2 linked regions of the Struthio camelus genome follow. The main gene of each other region encodes a partner of the protein of the gene in region 2 in a complex. Links are inferred from orthologs where the notes say so. Each region holds a gene or a part of one and is shown on either strand. Other genes may lie near its edges.

Region 1 (7,958 bases), on a different chromosome or scaffold from region 2:
GGTTAAATGTTGCAATAATCTGAACTAACGTGCACAAACAAGGTTTCTTGTGTTACCAAAAAAAAAAAAAAAAGATTAAAAAAAGGAGAAAAATTACAGAGCGGTAAAAAACAAAACAAATAAATAGTAAATTATTTAAGAAATGTATTTTGTCTACTACAGTTCAAAGTAAATTATTGATACACTATGTAAAGGTATGAAGCGCTGTCTTAGGTGATGTTCTTTGTGAGCATTGAAGCTAGTGGCTTGTTCTCCTCGGAGCGTAACGCCTTCGAAAACTAGGCGGCCCCAGGCACCGTCTCATCCGCGGCCTCTCCGTTCATCGTCCCTGCGCGCACGCCTGCGCCCGGCCGCGGCCGCGCCGCCTTCCCGACGGCCCCCGCGGCCGCGCCGGCCTGAGCAGCCGCTCGAGCAATTCAGGTCACCTGTCCACACCGCTCCTTCTCTTTTTGTTTTTTTTTCTTTTTTTGTTTTTTGGGGGTTTTTTGGTTTTTTTTTCTTTCTTTTTTTTTTCTTTCTTCCTTGCTTTTGGGGTTTATTTGCGCTCTCGCACCTCCTTCCCCCGGCCCGCTCGTCATCCCGGCTCCGCCGCGGAAAGCTGCTGCCCGGTGCGAGCGGCCGCCCCGCCAGCCCGCCCCGCGGAAGAGACAGAAACAAAACACAAAACGCACGCAAAAAAAAAAAAAAAGAAAAAAACCTTTTTTTTTTTTCCCCCAAATCGTTTTGGTTTGGTTCCTTCCATGCCGCCTCATATTTATGCATTCACATATATCTTCTGTTATTTATGCCTTCAGTACTCAAAAGGAAATGTATCTCGTTTCACATGTATTAAACTGTATAAACTGGAAGCGTGGCTTGACTTTCTGGCGCGGCGCGAGCTACCGCTGGCACCCCGAGCCCTGGTGGCAGCGGCGGCACCCTGAGCCCCGGCGGCAGCGGCACCCCGAGCCCTGGTGGCAGCGGCGGCACCCTGAGCCCCGGCGGCAGCGGCACCCCGAGTCCTGGTGGCAGCGGCGGCACCCTGAGCCCCAGCGGCAGCGGCACCCTGAGCCCTGGTGGCGGCGGCACCCCGAGCCCCGGCAGCAGCAGCGCAGCACCCTGAGCCCTGGCAGCGGCGGCACCCCGAGCCCCGGCGGCAGCAGCACCCCGAGCCTTGGTGGCGGCGGCAGCACCCTGAGCCCCGGCAGCAGCAGCAGCGGCACCCCGAGCCCTGGCGGGGTCCCGCAGCAGCTCCCACCCGGGCCGGCGGCGAGGCAGCCGCCGTGTGCTCAGCGGCCTGCTCAGCACCCTGCCTTGGGGCACGCAGTGGCCGCCGGCGGCGGGGGGAGGCCTCGCCGCGCCGCTGCTCCGCGCCGTAGCTCCTTAGCCGTGCTGCGTCCGCCCTGGCCCCCGTGCCCTCGCCCGCGCCCCGAAGCCTGTGTGCGGCGGGAACCGCTGCTGTTAGAAGGTTTTGGCTGCAAAGGGGAAAACTTGGTCTTTATGAGGCTTTCAAAAAAAAAAAAAAAATCCTAAATCGGCCCGTTTTACCGCCAAGCAGGAGGAGTGGGACGGACAAGGCGTTTCCGAAGCGCTGCTGTCCCCTCCGCGTGCCCAGCTGGCCCTGGGGGCCGCTCGCAGGCGGCCCTGTCCCCGCGCCCTCCTCCCGGAGGAGCCGCACGCGGCAACACCTCCCTGCGCAGCCTAACGAGCCCGGGGCAAACGACGCCGGCGCCCGGCGCCAGCCCTCGGCCAGGCAGCGCGCGCCCTCACCGGTGGCCGGTGCATCATCCCTGTGGATTATTTTCCTTTTTTTTTTGTTTTATTAATTCACAGTTTATTGGCTGCAAAGCCCCACTCTGCTTTCCGGAGAAAAGCTGAGGATGTGGAGGAGCGTCTCGCCCGACGTGACTGTCTTCCCCGCACGTCGGGCCCGGGGAGCGGGCTGGCGCCTGCTGTGCACACGCTGGGGCGGCCACGGCGTGCCGGGAGCCGCCGCGGCCTCGGGACCCTCCCGGCCGCGGCCGCTGGCGGGCGCAGCTGTGGGAACCGGCCTCCTCCCGCCGCGCCGGCTCCCGGGGGGCTGGGGGGGGACTGAGCTAGCTCGAAGGACACAGACGCGAGCGTGGGAAACAAGCCGCGTCTTCGCCTTTGACCGCCAGCATCCTCTGGGAGCTGCAACTGCGGAGCCGTGCGCGCTGCAGCCGCCAGGCCACCGCCGGCCCGGCCCGTGCAGAGGCGGCCGGCCGGCTCCGCGCGGCCCCTCGCCCCCGAAACGTGCCGCGGGCTCGCTCGCCGACGGAGCGCGCCAGCCCCAGACCGGGCTGCTGGCTGCGGGCGGGCGCGAAGCGTTTTCGCTCCTGTCCTAGATGCGGCGGTGAACTAGGGTTACGGCATCAGGGACTCGGCACGGGGGCGATATCCCGGCAGTTCTGGCTCGCAGAGATGTCGGTTTTCTGCCCGGCCCTGGCACCGTGGCGGTTTCCTAAGGGCAGCCGAGCTCCGGGCGGGAGGTTTCAGCACGGGCCCCGTTACGTCGGCCGCGGCATCGCTATTGGCAGGCGGCAGAGAGGGGTGCAAGGGGCTGGCGTCGCTGCCCGAGTGCCGCCCGCTGCTTTTAGCATTTCGGTGCATTTCTGCAAAAAATGGAAGGTTCCCAGCTGGTCACAACCCACCAAATGGTGCACCGAAGCCTGAGCCCGGACGTCGCCAGCCCCAGCCCTGCTTTCGCCATTGCACAGATGAGCGGGGCCAGGAGGGAGCTGCTGCGCCTGATTCACCGGCTCGACGCCCCGGGGAGGGTCGCAGGGCCGTCGGGGGCTCCGGGCAGCAGAGCATCGGCCAAGGCTGGCGCGGGAGGACGAAGCAGCGATTTGAGCGCGGGGCCCGGGAGGCGGCGACGGTGCCGCGAGCGCCGGGCTCTGGCCGCTCGGTGTCTGCGCCGAGCCGGGTCAGGCAGCGCCAGGGCGGGAGGGATGCTTGAAAACACCCGAAATAAGGAACTAACGAATGCTCTGGCCTCAGCGAGGCCGCTGCGCCGGCAGGAGGGCGGCCAGGGGTTTGCGTGCAGCCCCGGCAGCGCCTCCGGCGCCGGCTGCTCTGCCCTCGCTGTAACCTGGCCCTTTTTTAATCGTGGCCGTGGTGGTTTCCTTGAGAGAACCGTTCTTCAAAGCCTACCCAAGGTCTTTCCCGTAACAAACTTTTCCTCCTCTTTCAGGGATGCCCGTTCCCCAAATCTGAATCCATCCCAGGTGCAGTTCGACACAACCTTTAACCTGTCATCGTTGCGCGACCATGCAGGTGGCATGAATACTAATAAGCACTTGATATTTGTACGAGCTTTCACAGGATGAGTAATTAAATTGACTTTATCCATTAAACCTTCACTATTAAGCTTTAAGTACACGGCTGTACCTCGATGGCTGGGCCCTGTCTGCTCCTTTATGGGGGCGGCCGGGGGGGGGGGGGTCTTCATTAGACATTTGTGCGCATCCCGCCAGGGCCTCATTCAGCACGCTCTGCGCGGCTGCAATCTCCCTCTCAGGGCTTTTTTCCAGCAGCTCGACAGGTCTCTCCGTTGCAATCCCGCCGCGGCCCAGGAATAACTTCATTGCTCGTCGTTCCTTACGCCCGTACCGAACCCGATCGCCCCGCCGGCTTCCCCAGGCTTCCTCACCCTCTCCTGCCCGCGTGTGAGTTATTCTACCTGGCACTAATTAATTTTCCTCATTCAGCAAAATAAATAAATACATCTCACGGACGGTAACACGTTGCCATACGAGTTAATTCTTCGTGCAAGACCGGGCGCTGCGCGGCTCGCCGGCCGGAGCGCCAAGGGCAGGCGGCCAGCGCCCACCTGCTAATTACCCGGCCTAATGAAGGGGGAAGTGCTGGGTCCCCCCCCCCCCCCCCCAGCGAAAGAAATCTCGGGGCAAGTATATTTTAGCAAGAATTTGAGCAGTAGTCCGTGCGCTCCGGCCATCGGTCGGGGGGCGGCGGGCGGCAAGAGCAGCAGGAGGCGCCTGAAGGGCAGGACGCTGGCCGCACCTCGAGGAGAAGCAGGCGGCGATGGCTCAGACCGGCCTCCTTGTGCAAACAGCCTGAAAACAAAGCCGTTGGGTGGTTTTTGTTTTTTATTGCGGATTAACGACACCATAAAACGTATCTCCCTGGCCGTTTGAGCAGGGCTTGATCGTAAATATTTGGGATTTAAAAATAAATAAATAAATAAAACGTTGCCGCTGGGCCGAGCGCCCGCGGGCGGCACCGAACCAGCCCCCGGGGTGGCGTTGCCGGTACCGGAGAAGGCGGCAGTGACAAAGTACCGGCTTTCGGGGGCCTGGCCGGCCGGCGCAGCGCGCCCGCGTGGGGGCAACGGCCAGCAGCAGCCCCCCGCGCCCGGAGGAGCCCAGAGGCAGGGTGAGGGGCGCCGGCCGCAGCCCCCACGGCCCTTTCCGGGCTCAGGCCGCCGCCGCGCGGGCCGGGCCGGGGGTGAAAACATCCCCGCGTCGGCCCGGAGCGAGGGCGGCGGTAGCTGGTCACTCGGCGGCCCGGGGCGGCTGGTCAGGGGCCGCTTTATTTTCGCCTCCTGATATTTTTCCCTTGGAAAGAGCGGGTTTTTTGTTTTTTTTTTTTTTTTTTTCTGGGGGGCAGGGGCCAAAGGGTGGGATTTCTGCCCCCCCCTCCGCCCCAACCCCGATCTGGTCTGGTTTGCTGAATGCCAAAAAAGCAAAAAGCAGGGCGGGGGGGGAACAAACCAAAGAAATCTCAAATTAAACAAAAATAAAGGAAACCCTCCCGGCGCGAGGCCGCCCCTAGCGGCCGCCGCGGGGCTCCAACCGGGCTGGAAAATATGAGCATAAACCACATAAATCTAGAGAAACTCGACGAATCGCACGGCGAGGGCCGGGGGGGGGGGGGGGGGGCGCTGCGGCCTCCCCGCCCCCCGGGCCACGGGTGTGATGAGAGCGGCAGGCCTCAGCCGGGCTCTCTCGGCAGGGCGGGGAAGGGCAGGGGGTAGCCTGCCTTTCGGGGGGCTGAATTTGGGCGGTGGGCAGCGCCGTTAAGCGGCGAGCCACGGCCGGGCCTCCCTCCCCCTCCTCCTCCTCCTCCTCCTCCTCCTCCTCCTCCTCCTCCCCCCCCCCCCAGCGGCGGCCCCGCGAAGCGCCGCCCGCCGAGGAAGCGTGTCCCCAGCGCCGCGCCGTCCGCGGTATCCAGGGCGACGGCGGCGGCGCGCGCGCCCCCCCAGCAACGAGCCAGGCCGCGCTCGGCGCCATGGCGGCCGCCGCCGGCAGCGGCAGCAGCAGCAGCAGCCCCGACGTCTTCCTGGTGGCCGTCAGCGGGCAGATCGAGAGCGGGCAGGTGAGCGGGACTGGCCGGGGGGTCGCGATGGGCTTGTGGGGCGTGGGCAGCGCGGACCGGTCTCGGCACCGGCGGCGCGGCCTAGCCCCCGGCCCCGGTAAGGCAGGCCCGGCCCCGGGCTCGGTGCCGGCTGAGGGCCCAGGCCCGGCCCTGGCCGCTGTCCTGGCACCGTGGCCTGGCTTTGGCCCGCCCCGGCCCGGCAACGCAGCCCGGCCTCAGCCCTCGTCCCGCTAACGTGGGTTGGCGCTCGGTTCCCATAACGCAGCCCGGCCTCAGCCCTCGTCCTGCAAACGTGGGTTGGCGCTCGGTTCCCATAACGCAGCCCGGCCTCAGCCCTCGTCCCGCTAACGTGTGTTGGCGCTCGGTTCGCATAACGCAGCCTGGCCTCAGCCCTCGTCCTGCAAACGTGGGTTGGCGCTCGGTTCCCATAACGCAGCCCGGCCTCAGCCCTCGTCCCGCTAACGTGTGTTGGCGCTCGGTTCCCATAACGCAGCCCGGCCTCAGCCCTCGTCCCGCTAACGTGTGTTGGCGCTCGGTTCCCATAACGCAGCCCGGCCTCAGCCCTCGTCCCGCTAACGTGGGTTGGCGCTCGGTTCCCATAACGCAGCCCGGCCTCAGCCCTCGTCCTGCAAACGTGTGTTGGCGCTCGGTTCCCATAACGCAGCCCGGCCTCAGCCCTCGTCCTGCAAACGTGTGTTGGCGCTCGGTTCCCATAACGCAGCCCGGCCTCAGCCCTCGTCCCGCTAACGTGTGTTGGCGCTCGGTTCGCATAACGCAGCCTGGCCTCAGCCCTCGTCCTGCAAACGTGGGTTGGCGCTCGGTTCCCATAACGCAGCCCGGCCTCAGCCCTCGTCCCGCAAAAGTGTGTTGGCGCTCGGTTCGCATAACGCAGCCCGGCCTCAGCCCTCGTCCTGCAAACGTGTGTTGGCGCTCGGTTCCCATAACGCAGCCCGGCCTCAGCCCCGGCCCCGGCCCTGGTAGCTGGGCTTGGTCTGAGCCTGAGGACCTTGGCTTCGTGGAGTGGACTGGCCGCAGTGCTGGTACCGCGGCCTGCTCTCGGCCCCGCTGGCGCCGGCTCCCTCAGCCTCGTAACACAGGCTGGCCCTCGGTCCCGCTAATGTAGCTCGGCCCCAACCCTAGCCCCAGTAACGCAGCCTTTCTCTCTCCCGCAGTTCCCCGAGTTTGATGACCTCTACTGCAAGTTCTGCTTCGTTTACGGCCAGGACTGGGTTCCGACTGCTGTAAGAGCCTTTTACGTCCCCTTGAAACGCGGGCTGCGTTGCTGGCCTGTGTAAAACGGGCCCGGCAGGGGTCCTTGGCTCATGCCACGCTCTCCCTGCAGGGCCTGGAGGAGGGCATCTCCCAGATCACCTCCAAGAGCGATGCCGCAAACTCTACACTCGTCTGGAACTTCCCCATCGACATTACCTTCAAGAGCACAAACCCATCCGGCTGTGAGTGCCCAGGGGTGGTGGGGCCCATCTCGCAGACCAGGCAACCTGCTGACTTCCATTTCTTTTGCAGGGCCACAGATTGTAGTAAGCGTCTATGGACCTGATTTTTTTGGAAACGATGTGGTCAGAGGCTATGGAGCTGTTCATGTTCCCATTATACCTGGAAGGTGAGGTGATGACCTACTCATCTTTCAGGATCAAAATGGAATTTATTTCTAAGTATCTGTGCTGTTTCAGAGCCAAAAATGTCCCCTTATCTCCTTGTCACGTCATCAGAGTGGTATGAACAGCATAGATCTTCTAGTAGAAGCCCCTGGTTATCAGATGATTTTTGGTAATCCTGCAGGCAATTCCGTAAAGTCAAAACTAGTATGAAGAAAGTCCAAGTATGAAGTGCAGTATGTCAGTTCTTCTTCCCCAGCACTCTCAGCAGGCGCTAAGCTTTCATTTCTGCCACTGGAAGTAGAGTAAGTTACTATGCTCTTCTGTATTTATATCTCTGGGACTCCTAGGATGCAGCAGCATGTATGGCACTCTGAAGTGACTTGTTTGCTCTGTGCTAGCTTTCTTATGCAAGCAAGCCCTTCCTCTGTGGATGGGAAAGTATTTTTACTCTGAGATGTTCAGTGATATAATGTATCTGAAATTCTGGCCTCTTTAATAAAAATAAGGAGGCTTGCCATTGCTGTTTGGTTCATTTCTTAATTTCTGTGCCTTTCATGTTTGTTTTAGGCACATAAGAACTATTCCTATGTTTGTTCCGGAGTCTACATCTAGGCTGCAGAAGTTTACAAGGTAATAATTAAAGACTTTGTGAGTAAGACTAAGAAGAACTTCTTAAAAAAAAAAAAAAAAAAGTATCTCCAGCTACTCACTTGTGCATACGTACACGTATTTTGTATCATAAACAGATAGTTTTGAGTTTTATGGGTGAAGCTAAAGTTGAGGAACTAAGTGAGGTGAAGCTAAAGTGTCCTTCAGAGAGCTTTCATAAAACCTGTTAACTATTTGCTTGGAGTAATGCTGTCTAACTTGCCTTTTTTGTCATCCTTGGATTTGAACAAGGTTTGTTTGAGAAAGAGTTGCTAATTTTAACAGACTCATCTCTGAACTCTTGCACTGTGTGGCAACTCCTTACTCCACGGGCCGATTCATTTCAGTGACATG
Region 2 (7,311 bases):
TCCATTCTTCTGAAGTCCACCTGCTTTTAAAGTTCACAACAAGAGTATGCTACTCACCATTCCAGCATTGCACTTAAGGGTACACAGTGAAGACAATTGCATGAAAGAGCAAAAAGAGTCAACAAGGAGATATTTCAGTGACTACTTCAATTTACAAAGTAGAGTTCACTATTTTCCCTAAATGCATACTGCCTTTCAAATATAAGAATCACTTAACAAACTAACTTCCATGCATCCCAGTTTTTTAAATTATCATCTAGTGTCATATATACATAGAACGCTACTCTCTCAGAGCAACGACAAGCCTCCAGACAAATGGCTGCATCCCTTCAGAAAAAAAGCCCAAGACCTTGATGACAAGTATCTGAGAATATTCCTTGGACAAAACTCTTGCTCAATAACAAGTGTCATGACACACTAATGAATGAAGATTTCTGATGCACAGTTATCTGTTGATCACAGTAACTAATCGCTCCTCCTGAGCTTACAAAACAAGTCGGAGAAGCCCCAGTTTTTTAACTGATTCTATGTTGCTTCTAGGTCAGCACTGTATAAACACAAACTGAAGACAACTGCCTGTTTGATAACTGCAATGAAGATCATCAGCTCTCCGCATCTTTATAATCGATCTTCTCAACAGATATGGTAGCAGTGCCAACAAGCAAGGAGAGAACTCAAGGGCAGAATTTTTGTACAGAACCTTCGTTTCTTGGAAAATCAAATCCGCTGGCCTGCTATTTCATGATGTATGAAACCTGTAGCATTTCTGAATTTTGCAACTCTGTATTCCTATCCCAATTTTTACCCAGCATTCAGAACCAGATATCCTCAGTACTTCTTAGGTGGTAAACGTCAAGTCCTCCACGACGGCCCACGGATACAGAATACAAATTGCAGTGCTCAAACAAGACACACCGATTCAAGATCATAACGTGATATTTAAGAAGTCCATAAACAAAAATACCAAAAATACAAGTTCGGATAATAGGCTTTAACTAGCTGTGCATTAAGCAACGAAGAAGCGAAAGCCAACACAGACAACCAGTGCAACTGTTTAAATGAATGACCTAAAAGTGACTTTTAGGATGAAAATATCTCACAAGACAAAAACCAGATCATCAACTGAGCAAGGCCTTCAAAGAACAAGTGTTTAGATAATAAACAGATGGCCTCATGCCAACACTTTAAAAGCACAGAAAAGTGCACACTAATGCTTTAGGAAATTCTGTATTTAAGCTGAGCTAACTAGAAAGTCGTACTGTGCCTGCCTACACTTCCACAGCCTTTGCAGAGCACATTGCAAATGCTATTAAAACTTCATACCACCTCACTGAAAAAAAAAAGCCTTCAAATATTTCATGAAAATAGGACTGCACTAGACTAGCACTTTTACTACCGGATAGAAAGATTACACAATCTGTATGCAATGAAGCCAACAGGAACACCCACAGAAATACCAGAAGCATAAAACTGAATTTTGATGAATATGTGAGTTAAGAATATGCTGGGTCAGGGAAGGATTGTTTATTCTAATCTTCTCCAAAACAAGCCTCAATAGTCAAAGTAAGTCACTGGGAGTGAAAGCCTCCAACACCGCTGAAGGCAGACGGGAGGGTGCCCTGCAGCTGGGCGGCCGCAGGGCCGGTTCCGAGCGCTGCTCCTCGGCGAGAGGCCGCTGGGAAGCCCCGGAGCAGCGGCGCGGCCGGCCGCACCGGCGGAAACGCGCCCCGCCGCCGAGCGGGCGAGGCCGAGGCGCGGGGAGCGGCGGAGAGGCCGCCTGTGACCCGACTCCGCGCAGAACGAGCGCGGCCTCCCCGCGGCACCGGGATGGGGGCACTAGGGAGCGAAGGGCGAAAGCCGCCAGCCGGGACGAGGGGCCTCAGCGCGGGCAACCGCCGCGCAGCCGCTCCGCCGGCGCGCACCCCGCGCCCTCGGCTACGCAGAGCCCTAGGGAAGCCAGGCGCCCTCCCGCGCGCCATCCACCCACCGGACACGCCGCCGGGACAGGCTCAGCACCGAGCCCCGCAGCTCCCAGCGCAGCACCGCCAAGATGGCGTCCTCCTTCTTCCCCCCGCAACAAGCAGGCCGGGGCCGAACTGCGCCTGCGCGACCCCCTCCCCTCCGACCCTACGGCTGAACTTGCACGAATCCTTCCGGGCCCCGCCGGCCGCGCGGCGCGGCGCGGCGCCGAGCGCCACCCTGCGCTCGTGCGCATGCTCGGCGCGCACGCGGTTTCCCCCCTCTCCGAACCGCCTCCGGGAGGCGGGGCCGGGAACGCCCTGTCCCTACCGCGCTTTCCGCTGCGCATGCGCTGTCTGGCTCCCCGCTCGTTTCAGTACGCATGCGCTCTGCGTAGGCGCGCCGCTGACGCGTGCAGCGTCGCGTGGTCACGGCGGCGGGATGTGCGGGGGCCGCTTTGCGAGCAGTGCGCATGCGCCGCCGGGGCGCCCCGCGGGACAGCGTTGGCGGCGCGCGCCGCCGAGGAGAACGGTGTCGTCCGCGCCGCGGTGACAGCGGGCGGTGGCGGCTGCGCTGATCGCTAGGGTTACGGCTGTTTGCAGCGACCTTCAGCCTCTCGCTTCCGTCAGTTCCGGCGCCTGCCCGGTTCAGGAAAAGGGGCGAGGGGGAAGTCCCTGCGAGGGCTGTGGGCCCCGAGGCTGAGAGCCGCTGGGAGCCGCCTCAGGCCTGGGCCTGGGCCTGCGGGCGCCTCTGGCACCGGAGAGGGGGTGTTGCACCCTGTGCTTCTGTTCCTAGGCGGTTCCCAAAGCTCAGGGGCCAATTGTTAGAAAAACAGTTTCCAACCTAAACTTTCTCGAGGTTGGCTCCAAGCGTGCGTTGGGAGAAATGGGAGGAAGGGAGAAGTAAGTAAGGGGTAAGACTGTCCATGCAGAAGGGGAGAGGCAGGCTACTTTCATCATTAAGGTTAGATAGTATTTTATCCATGCAGTGTTCATCTCACCTCCCTTTCCCTGTGTTTTAGACGTATTCCCTTATATTTCTAGACAGCAGTTCTATTGCTAGTCAGCTCCATTCTGATAGACTAAAAAAGCTTGGGGTAGATTCACACCCCCCCCCCCTTGGTCATCCTGGTAGCCCTTATCTGTCTTTTCTGGGATCGATCTCTATCTGGAGCCTAGGAAGTAGAATATGAGAAAGTGCTTCTGATGGAGTCTTCCGCAGAGCCACATCCAAAGCACGCTTCTCTCTTCTCTGTGTCTTTTGGAAACACGTTTCCTGATTTAACAATACAATTACATAGCACTGGTGGTTTGGTTACACCATGAGTAACTAATAAAATGAGGTCCTTCTGTCCTTTCAAACTGAGTTTGGGGAATTGCATTCCATTATATCTTAGAAAATAGCTAGAAAGTAACTGACATGAGGCTGACCAGAAGTTGTGAAGCTGCCTTCTCTTGGCATCCAGAAGCTTGCTGGTTATCACAGTATTAACGATTTATGAAATCCCTCTTCACATGATATAGCTTAGAAGCAGTGGTTGGAAATCTCACAAAAATAGGGTTAAGATTCTTGAGAAATAATTTTACTGCAGGTATAAATGCTATTTTCTCTGGAAATAATGCTTATAACCCCACTTTCCTAGCTTCACTGCCTGGGTGCTTGGCACAGAGGGAGCTGCTGTCTTCTCCTTGACTGGAGATGTTTAAAAAAAGAACATACAACATAGGAATTATCTGCGATAGCTGTTCGCTATCTCTAGGAGAGATGTTATGAACAGGAACTGAAGCATAAAAAGTTTAAGCATAATCACCCAGTATCTCAGCCTTTAAAAAATTCCATCAACGCAGCAATACAAATCTGATTAGGAATGAAGCATTTGGTGCGATAAGCATATATGCTTCCAAGCAGCACTATTATACGGACTCAAAATAGTTATGCGGTTATCATTCAGTAAAGAGATAGTGAGGAATAATGAAAACCGAGGACGCTCGAGTACCCAGAAAAGTTTTGGTGATGCTTGGGGGAAAGTGAATAAGAGCAAGTGAAAAAAGGGGTAACTTTGGCTTTGTGTGCGTTCATCTGGGCATTCTGTATGATCGCTCTGCTACCCGTCTCCTTAAAAACGAAAACCACACGTTTGCACCACCTGACGCTGCTCTGCCGCACCGCCGATGCCCTGCCGCCCTCCCCGCTCCCCGGCGGAGGCACGTCCGGCGCAGGCGCGCCCTCTCCCCCGTGAACGCTTCGCCTCCGCGGTTGGGCCCTTCGGGCGCTCCGTACCAGAGGCGATTGGCCAGTGAGAGCGCGCGGCTGCAGCTGCTGGGTAGCCATGGCGACGGCGCGGTGGTGGGGCGCCGCCGCGCTGCTGCTCTCGCTGGCCGCGGGGCTCCCGCCGGGCCGCGGCTTCTCCTTCCCGCTGCGGCGGCCCGGCGGCTGCGGCGACGCCCGTTACTTCGACATCTCCCGCCTGGCCTGCGGGCCGTGTGGGCCCCACCAGAGGCCGAGCGCCGACGGTGAGCGATCCGCGCCGCAGGGGGGCGGGCGAGCGGGGCTCCTCGCGGCTGGAGGTGCCAAATCTGGGCTCAGATTTGGGCTGCTTTAGTTTGCAAAACGATTGTTCTCAGGTACGAGTCTGAAAAGCAGTGGAAAGGGTCAGACCTTCCAAAAGGCATAGGTGTCCGTAGCACAGATACGATATCTGTATTCTGTTATATATCCAAGAGCAATATATGTACACCTTTTCTCTAATCTTTCTTTCCTTAGGCATTTCTGTTGTTACAAATGCCCACTTTTTTATCAGTAAAATTCTATAGGTCCCTAAATTTCTCTTCTTGAGAGCTTCCAAAACTTGAAGCTTCTTGTCAAAACTCACATGTCTGAGAACTTAAATATCTGAGACTTTCAGGCTGTGCACAGATTAATCCGAGTCCCATGTGGGAATGTGGAGGATGCTACACGTATTGACAGTACTAAGTGAAAAATGTACTAAGTGAGCAATGTTCGCTTTCTTTAAGAGACATGAGTGTATGATAGTGTTCCGCTTTTATGAATACTCAGTTTTGGAAAAGTGGTAGTTTCAGTGGTGTATGTACATTAACAAATCAAACTAAGACCCAACAGCTTATTTCTTTGGAGCTGGTCCCTCGATTAAACGCAGTCATCTGGACAGCTGCGCTCCCTTATGTGAGGTTCTGGCCAATGAACTGTTGCATGCTCTGCTTCCTACGGCGTAGCTACAGCAAGAACGATGGGTTGTCCCTTGCCTTTGTCCCCACGCTGTGGGATACTCTTGGCTTGAGACTGTTGCATAAAAAAAGATGGTCACCTGTCCCACCACCTTTAATGATATCTTAAGATATCCATAAGAAACATACTGTAGCGGTTTTCAGTTGCATTGATCATATAGTTATCTAAATCCGTAAGTCCTTTAGGCTTGAATTTTCCTCTAACATCACTGTTCTGCTCGGGGCTTCAAGGAAACATATAAATTCCAAGGCTCAAGGATTCCATGAGCTCAAGGATTTAGACTTCTCCACAGCATCTTCTTAGAGCAGTTTAGGTTTAGATTATAAAACCTCACCAAATTTTATGTGAATGTTTACATGCACGTTTCTATGACCTTAAATAATAATAAACACACACTATAAAACAGAATTGACTCTAAGTACTAATAAAATGTCTTCGAACTTACAGAGAGGGATCCACAATATCTTGAGAGTAAAAAGTTACTGGAAAAAAATGCTATTGAGTGTAACAAGCGTCTGCTGTGGTGTGCCATGGTAATTGTGTTTACTTTAATAATAAACATTAGGTACGCTCTGTTACTCATTGGAAACTGATCCGGATGCACAGTTTTAAAAGCTTTGAATTTAAAATAGCTTTACAAACTACATTTATATTTTTGAAAAAATCTTCGCATATAAAGGTTATGTTTTGTTTTTCAGAGTGATTTCCTATTCGAAGGATTAAAAACTGAATACAGACATATGATGCTAATACTGTTGTCCAGAGGATGGGCTAAGTGAGTCAAGATTTGTACCAGTTATTAGATCAACTGGTATAGCTGAAGGAAGAACGCAAAGACACACACCTAGTATAGTTTTTCTCCCACTGTATCAGTCAACCTAATCTGATTTTCCCAAAACCTTTTCCTACAGTCTGTAACATCTACTTTTTTTAAAAAACAAGGCGATTTTCATGCACATGACACTCAAGTGTTTTATTTGTGTACCTAAGAAACTAAACTGATCTCTTAAGAAAAATAACAGCTCTATTATGTGGAAAAAACAGTTTTGATTTATGTAGTTTAAAAGGGAATTATTTTTTTCCAGGTCATTCATGTGTATGTCAGCCAGGATTCAGGATGGTTTCTAATAATGGTGGGCCCTCTGTTATTTGTGAAAAATGCCCGGAAAGTATGGTAAGCATTGAACTTTTCATAGTCTGCCATAATAATGCTTTTTTAAGTCTGGAACTTCCATCTAACTGCAAGTTATTTTTCTTTAATTTTAGATTATTTTGAAAATCAGTGAATTTTTAACCTTAAGACCATGTAGTATTTATTTTCCTCTTTAAAACTGTTTATTATTATTAATTTGCAGGGACCTTTTAATTATAAAATTGTGTTTTTAGGCAAAGTAAGAGTATTTTAAATGTTTAATTTCCTTCTGCTCCTTTTCTCTTCTGCTTCATGTTGTGTTACTCTTACCCTGAGACCACTTCTTTATAGAAAGCCAAAGATGAGTTTCAGTTTTTTAGTTTGTTTGTTTGTTTTTTTCCTTATCTTATTTGGTTATTTATATAAATCCTATTTTTGTAATATTTGGGCTGTATCTTCGTACCCTGTCATTTATCTTTTCACTTTAAAAGCAGCAGCTCATTTTGCGTTATTTTAGTTACACATACCTTTGTGATTTGCTCTGTTCTTTCTGCCTGTCTCGACAAAGTAAACTTAGTTTTCTCAGTATTCACAGCAGTGAGCCACAGGCACCAGACTTAACCAGCTTTCTCCCGCTATAGTAAATAGAGAAATAATATTTCTCTACCAAAAACAACTCTTGAAAGTAAGAGCCTTCCAAAGTACTTCTTTCTCTCCAGTAAGAAAAACTCTCAAGAGATCGACTTGAGCTGGGTTAGTGAGATGCTTAATGGCTGACTGGGTAACGTAACTAATCTCCTCCCTCTTTTCATCATCTTGTTGCTACTTTAGAAAGACTTTGAGGGATATCCGTTGGTGTTTTGATCTTTCTGCTATTTCTTTTTTTCCTATAATGCTGGCATTATCATTATTATTAATCATTCTGATCCTAAGACAAAGCTCATGCAAAGACAAAAAGGTGACAAGGGAGAAGG

The links. Proteins that work in one complex are often made in the same cells at the same time.
Region 1: TMEM67 (region 2) and B9D1 share a complex: the UniProt entries of both Homo sapiens proteins name them as parts of the tectonic-like complex. The link is inferred for Struthio camelus from reciprocal best matches to the Homo sapiens genes TMEM67 and B9D1.

What each region holds. Positions count from the first base shown.
Region 1 is NC_090956.1:3,416,669-3,424,626, forward strand, and holds the start of B9D1 (B9 domain-containing protein 1), read left to right. Parts: upstream 1-4,895; 5' UTR 4,896-5,250; coding exon 5,251-5,337; intron 5,338-6,509; coding exon 6,510-6,578; intron 6,579-6,679; coding exon 6,680-6,791; intron 6,792-6,861; coding exon 6,862-6,958; intron 6,959-7,523; coding exon 7,524-7,586; intron 7,587-7,958. UniProt on the Homo sapiens protein: Component of the tectonic-like complex, a complex localized at the transition zone of primary cilia and acting as a barrier that prevents diffusion of transmembrane proteins between the cilia and plasma membranes.
Region 2 is NC_090943.1:149,423,156-149,430,466, reverse strand, and holds the start of TMEM67 (meckelin), read left to right. Parts: upstream 1-4,243; 5' UTR 4,244-4,288; coding exon 4,289-4,472; intron 4,473-6,290; coding exon 6,291-6,379; intron 6,380-7,311. UniProt on the Homo sapiens protein: Required for ciliary structure and function. Part of the tectonic-like complex which is required for tissue-specific ciliogenesis and may regulate ciliary membrane composition.